Sus scrofa: one gene and its partner. The protein of the gene in region 1 purifies or fractionates together with the protein of each later gene. This does not show direct contact. Links are inferred from orthologs where the notes say so. Each region holds a gene or a part of one and is shown in the gene's direction. Other genes may lie near its edges.

Region 1 (3,653 bases):
TTGATGGGTTTGTCAAGTTCTTGTCTGAGGAGCACACAAAGAAGAAGGAGGGGATTCTGGCTGACTGTGAAAAGGAAGTTTGTTCTCCTGTGAGTGAAGGGGAAGAGTTTTCCGGCCCAGCCACCAACACATGTGGGGCCAAGAACTTACCATCCTTGGGTGACAATGAGATGCTCATAGGGAAATCAGACAAGTCAACCTACAATGTCAACCACCCAAACTATGGCACCGTGGACATGACCACAGGCATAGAAGCTGATGAATCTGAAAACATTTATCTCATCAAGTTAAAGAAGCTGATTGGGCCCCGTTACTACACCATGAGGATCCGGCTGGGCCTTCCAGGCAAGATGGATCGGCCCACAGCAGCTACAGGGCACACGGTGACCATCTGTGTGCTCCTGCTCTTCATCCTCATGTTCATCTTCTGCTCCTTCATTATCTTTGGTTCCGACTACATTTCGGAGCAGAGCTGGTGGGCCATCCTTCTGGTCATTCTAATGGTGCTGCTGATCAGTGCCCTGGTATTTGTGATCCTACAGCAGCCAGAGAACCCCAAGAAGCTGCCCTATATGGCTCCCTGCCTCCCCTTTGTGCCTGCCTTTGCCATGCTGGTGAACATCTATCTCATGCTAAAGCTCTCCACCATCACCTGGATCCGGTTTGCGGTCTGGTGCTTTGTGGGTAAGCAACTTCCTTTGGAGCCTTGGGAGGTCCCTTATTAAGGCCTTGTCCAGGATTATCCCAAAACTACTTCCTAGCTGGACTCAGCATCCCCAATCCAAGAGAAATCTGGCTGGTTGTTTCTGTGGATTCTTGCTTTCTGCTTTAGGGTCAAAAGAGCCAACTGTGCCCATTCTGCCTGTTAAGATCTTGGTTGGTGATTCTGAAGAATGATACTGATCAGTCCCTCACTTCATTGAATACTATTACTGGACGTTCTTGTGGATAATTAGTACCATAGAAAGTCCATTTAAAATGAATCCACATTTTTAAAATGACAAAAATTACATATAAAAGCAAGGGTGGGAAAGGTTGAGTGGAATTCTTAAAAACTAAAAATTATGAAACTAAAAAATTATTAAAAATTTTATTTATCTTATATTTGACAAAATTAAAATAGCAATCATGCCATATTTTTAAAGAAGCAAAGTATAAATTAAGCATAGGTTTTTGGCACAATTTTTTAGACAAAAGTGTATCATGACACAATTTAACAGCCCTCACTATTTAATGACTTTTGTAAAATATTCAAGAGTTTTTCATTCTTTCCCAAGGTCTTTCTTAACCCTTTAATATTCCAATCATTCTCTTGGGAAGTACCCATCACACATCATCCCATTGATTTTCTCTTGTTCTGTCAACAACTAATAGGACTCTGTCAGGTCCTTGATGTCCACAGCTTTGAGTGAAGTACCACTTCTCTCTCTAAACTCACTTTCATTGCTTCAGGATGTCCTGTATCTTTCCCAAGATTTCTAGTTTTCCTTTAGGACCAATTTATATTATATTCACATTAAATATTTATCCTCTATGACTGTCACTGATGTTTATGAAATGGCTGGTGATTGGTGCTCATGACACCTTGAGAGGGATGTTTAAGTGAAAACTAATTTTAAAGTTACTATTTTTCTATTTCCTATACAACTTGGTAACCCTGGGGTCTCTGGCAACAAATACTTAGCTAAGAAGGATCCTTAGAGTGCTTTAAGGAATAGGAAAGTAAAGAATAAGTAACCCCATCTTAAGGAGGGGAAAGACAGATACATGGGGAAGGCATCATAGAGACTCACTGAGTTGTAGCCCATCCACTCCTCCAGGTCAGGGATATGGGTTCAACTTGGTGCCTTCTGTACCCAGAACACAGTCTGTGCTTAATAAATACCGCCCTATGATTATAAAGCACTCCAGATGAGAAAAAAAGAAACTTCCGATCAGAATAGCTGGAAAGGACTTTGAGAAGGCAGCATCTGAACTGGGCCTGTAAGACAGGATTCAGATAGTGGGAAGCAGGGGAAAACAGTACTCAAAGGAAAGGGCATATGTCTCCCAGCAGATTCCTCACCTCTGAGGCCAGCCTCTGCCTTCCTGGAAGCACTGTGTACCCATTTCTCACTACCCGAAGCCTCATCCTTTGTTAGACTTCAGGGATCTCTTGAGAGGACCCCACTGACTTATAAAAATTCTAAGCATTTATGTGATTTATTCACAAATATCTCTTTTCTGTTTAAACATTTTTCTACTGGAACAAGAAGCTAAGCAATGAACAAATGCTACCATCAATAGAAATGACTGAAGTCAGTAGAAATATTAGAGTCACGTATTTCTCAATTGAATGAAGGCATAGACGCAAATACACGTGAATTTACTCATTTTTTCCTGGGTTATTCAAGCCAGAAGAAGCCTTCAACATCTAATACAATGTTCCCCAGAGTGTAGTGACCATTCCACTGCTAATATTTGGACTGATTTTAGCAAGTATATGAATGAATTATTTAATATTATATAGTTATTATTTACTTTCACTTATTCACATGAATCTGATTATTTTTAAATTTTAAAAGTGAGTCAAATTAAGGAAATACATTAGTACTAATACATGTGCCATATGATTCAAAGTAATAATTAACACATACAACATTTGTCACATTTCAGTCATCATTCCAGGGGCTCTATTTATATTAACTTAGTTAATCCTCACAACCACCTCCATTTTACAGATAAGGAAACTGAGGCACTTGACTGAGGTCAGATAGTTAGAATTTGCAAAGCCAAATTAGAACTGGTGGTGTGGGTCCAGAGTCCATGATCATAGTCACCCTACTAAAAATACAGTATATAAATCTAAATAAATATAAAGTTTGAGAAATACTGACATGGTCCACCACTTCCCCACTTCTCCCTCAATTTTATAGGAAGTAAACTGAACCTCCAAGAAGTTAAATAACATGCTCGAAGTCAAAAGGAGTAATAGGAACTTATTCACAGAGTTATTACTATACTTTAGAAATCTCCATGCTTAGATCTGGGGCTCCTACCTCCCCACCCGAGTGCCTCTGAGCAACTTTATTTGCTCAGAATGTTTGATATGTGGCCTGTACAGATTAACACATAACATCAGAGCTGGCTTCATGGGTAGATGATCTGTGGAGTCACACTGGGCCCCACACTTGGTTTAATGCTCTGGTGCTGTCTTCTTCGATTCTTAACAATTTTCTAACAAGAGGGTCCATGGTTTCATTTTGCACTGGAACCCACCAATTATGTACTTGGTCCTACATAATATCCATGTTTCTGGAGCACCAGAGGAGTTTTGCAAAAGCAGGGTGGTGGCAGGGGCAATTGCCCTTGGAGTCAGACAGCACCAAGTTGAAATCATAGCCACTTCCTTGTGACCTTGGAAAGTTCAGTTAACTCCTTGGGGCCTCAGTTTACTCATCTGTAAAACTGCAGATAATTCTAACCTTGATCTGGTTGCTGAAAATGTCAGGAAAAGTAATAAGAACTATTTCTTTCTTGACTTCCTTTTAAAACTCTAAAATGATTCATTGTTCCCCAGACTAGCTATCACATGCTAAAGTACAACGTGAACCTGTTCTGACTCAGGTTGCCCTTCTAGTTATCAGGCAGAAGACAACTCCCAGAGAGCCTTT
Region 2 (3,653 bases), on another chromosome or scaffold:
TCCAGCACCACTGTGAGCTGTGGTGTAGGTTGCAGACATGGCTCGGATCCCGTGTTGCTGTGGCTGTGGTGCAGGCCTGCAGCTGTAGCTCAAATTTGACCCCAAGCCTGGGAACCTCCATATGCCCCATGTGTGGCCCTAAAAAGACCAAAAAAAAAAAAAAAAAAAAAGACAAAACCAAAAAGTGAGAGTAGCTATCCTTGTCCTTGATCACAGGGGAAAGTCCTAAATCTTTCACAGTTACGTTTGATGTTAGCTGTGCAGGCATACCTCATTTTAGTGTGCTTCTTGGATTTTTTTTTTTTTTTTTTTTTTTGAACACGTTGAAGGCTTGTGGCAGCCCTATGCTGAGGAAGTGTATTGGCTCCATTTTTCCAACAGCGTTTGCTCGTGTCATGTCTCTGTGTCACATTTTGGCAATTCTTTTTTTTTTAATTTTTAAATTTATTTCCTTTTTAGGGCTGTATTTGCAGCATGTGGAAGTTCCCAGGCTAGGGTTCGAATTGGAGCTCTAGCCACCAGCCTACACCAGAGCCACAGCAACACGGGATCCTAGCCGCGTCTGCGACCTACACCACAGCTCATGGCAACGCCAGATCCTTAACCCACTGAGCAAGGCCAGGGATCAAACCTGCAACCTCATGGTTCCTAGTCGGATTCGTTAACCACTGCGCCACAACGGGAACTCCAAAAACACCAGTTTTATGTGCACTAGGAATTCAAACAATTTGTGCGACTTGCTTTATGCAGTATTCATTTTATCGGGATGGTTTGGAACTAAACCTGCAATGTTGTTAAGGTATGCCGATATATTTTTCTTTTTCTTTTTTTTTTTTTTTTTTTTTTTAGGGCCGCACCCGCAGCATATGGAATTCCTAGGCTAGGGGTCAAATCAGAGCTGCAGCTGCCAGCTTACACCACACTCATGGCAATACCACGGATCCAAGCCACATCTGTGGTCTATGCCACAGCTCACAGCAGTTCTGGATTCTTAACTCACTGAGTGAGGCCAGGTCTCAAACCTGCATCCTCATGGATACTAGTTGGGTTTGTTTTTGCTGAACCACAAGGGGAAGTCCTTCGGCGGGGAATTTTAAATTATGACTTCAATCTCTTGTTATACAAGTTTTCTCAGATTTTCTACTTCTTGAATCAGTTTTGTCTTCCTGGGAACTTGTCTGTTTCAGCTAAGTTATCAAACTTGTTGGCAAACAGTTGTCAGTATTTGCTTGTAATAAGACTTGTTTATGTAAGATTGGTAGTGTTATCCCCTTTCATGTTTTTATTTCAGTAATTTCAGTCTTTTTTTTTTTTTTTTTTTTTTTTGTCTTTTTGCTGTTTCTTTGGGCCGCTCCCGCGGCATATGGAGGTTCCCAGCCTAGGGGTCAAATTGGAGCTGTAGCCCCTGGCCTATGCCAGAGCCATAGCAACGCAGGATCTGAGCCGCGTCTGCAACCTACACCACAGCTCACGGCAATGCCAGATCGTTAACCCACTGAGCAAGGGCAGGGACTGAACCCGCAACCTCATGATTCCTAGTCAGATTCATTAACCACTGCACCACGACAGGAACTCCAATTTCAGTCTTTTTATTCTCAGTTAATCTAGCTAAAGCTTTGTCAGTTTTGTTGAGCTTTTAAAGAACTAACTTCCGGTTTCATTGATTTTCTTTATTGGTTTTCTCTTCCATTTGTCATCCATTCCTGCTCTAATCTAGAGTATGTCTTTCCTGGCTTTAGGTTTAGTATGCTTTTCATTTTCAAGTATCTTGAAGTGGAAGATTAGGTTGTTGTCCAGAGATCAGTCTCTTTTCTTGATAATAGGGCTGTGAATTTCCCTCTGAGTACTGCTTTAGCTGCCTTCCGTAAGTTTGGTGTATGGTGTTTTCATTTTAATTTTTGCTTTTTTTTTTTTTTCAGGGCTGCACATGTGGCATATGGAAGTTCCCAGGCTAGGGATACCATAGCTACGCCATAGCTATAGCAACACCAGATCCAAGCTGCATCTGTGACCTGCAGCACAGCTCACGGCAACGCTGGATCTTTAATCCACTGAGCAGGGCCAGTGATCAGACCTGCATTCTCATGGATACTAGTTGGGTTCATTACCACTGAGCCACAACGGGAACTCCCAGGTTAATCCCAAGGTATTTTTCTAATGTTCCTTGTGATTTCTTCGGCCCGTTCGTTATTTAGGAGCATGGTGTGTAATATCCACATATTTGTAAATTTCTCCAATTTCATTTTGTTACTGATGTATAATTTCATTCCATTATGACACTGTATGATAACAGTCTATGTGCCCTTAACAAGAGTGTGTGTTTTGCTCTTGTTGGGCTGGCTGCTCTGTAGAGGTGGTTTGGGTGGTTTGTCCTCTTGTTCAAGTCTTCTTTTTCCTTGTTGATCTTCTGGCTGCTTGTTAATATGGGTGATCTGGACTTTAGATTGTCTGCTTTATGCCAGCTGGTCAGGGATGATGGGGGCAGAGCCAGGCATTGCTCAGGGTCTTGGTGCTCTTGTTTGCCAGAAGGACAGAGTGGTCCATTGCATTGCTCAGGGTCATGGGAGGTTTCTGGTCACAAAGACCCTGCCCTGGGCGCCTGTGCTTCTGTTTCAGCTCCCAGCTCCCAACCAGCCCCAGCCCAGACCGCAGGAAGCAGACCTACCCCAGGCAGGGGTGTCCCAAGCGAGAGGACGTGCGCCCGGCAACGGTGAGCCCCGGACGCCAGCGCCCAGTGCTGAGGCGGTTTTGGATTTGAAGAGACAAGGTGAGAAAGGTGAGTGAGGCTTGGCCGTGACTCATTTCAGCCCCCATCAGGGCCCTGTGGCCACACAACCATAGCAGCAGATCATGTCCTTCGTTCCGTATAGACACACAGGGCAGAGTTGCTGCTGGCGGCTGACTGTGAGCTCAGTAATGGGCGGGAGGGGGGCAGGTGAATGTCTTTCTGGGCATCTGAACTTGGGCCTTGGGGCCCTTCCCCTGCCTTACTGCTGTCTCACGCTTGTTATTTGGCAGCTCTGTACATGGAGGTCTGGCTTTGGCTTTGCTCAGGATGCTGGTGGGTCTGTGGGATGCAGGGAAGTGGCTGAGTCCTGAGCAGCTGGCCCTGGCTCCCGGCGCTTATCTCAGTCAGATGGGATCATCCAACAGCCTCAGTGGCTCAGCCTCCTCTGCTTGTAGCTGGTTGCTGTTATTGAGATAACTTAGTTTGGCCTTTTTTTCTAAATCATTCCCTCTTCCTCGTGCTTCTGAAGATGAGCTGCAGGCATAGAGAAGCTGGGAGTCTGCTGAGGTCACGAAGTAAATTATCCAGTCACGCCATCCGTCCACTGCCCTTGGGAAGGCTCTGGGGATTGAGGGGTACGAGGGCTTCTGGGTGGTTTTACTTAAATTAATTGCTCGTGAGGTGGCTGCTAACTCTCTTCTGTGCACAGAGGAAACCAAGGAGATTCAGGTTGCCAGCGAGGAGGAGGAGGCGGCGGCAGCGCAGAGGGATGCCCTGGGGCAGCCGCAGGATCCAGGCCAAGAGCAGGCCGGGGCCGAGGCCAGAGACGTGGGTGGAGAACCCGGAGAAGTTGGCCGGACCCCGCAGGCACCGGCTGCCCCATTGGCAAGCCAGGAAGACCAGGACCTGGAGGGCCCCGAGCGGG

What was found.
Region 2: the proteins of SLC7A14 (region 1) and GOLM1 purify together in Homo sapiens (co-immunoprecipitation; 3 studies listed by BioGRID and IntAct, with this or other methods). This does not show direct contact. The link is inferred for Sus scrofa from reciprocal best matches to the Homo sapiens genes SLC7A14 and GOLM1.

Annotation. Positions count from the first base shown.
Region 1 is NC_010455.5:109,123,403-109,127,055, reverse strand, and holds part of SLC7A14 (probable cationic amino acid transporter), read left to right. Parts: coding exon 1-684; intron 685-3,653. UniProt on the Homo sapiens protein: Imports 4-aminobutanoate (GABA) into lysosomes. May act as a GABA sensor that regulates mTORC2-dependent INS signaling and gluconeogenesis. The transport mechanism and substrate selectivity remain to be elucidated.
Region 2 is NC_010452.4:29,204,526-29,208,178, forward strand, and holds part of GOLM1 (Golgi membrane protein 1), read left to right. Parts: intron 1-2,616; coding exon 2,617-2,776; intron 2,777-3,437; coding exon 3,438-3,653.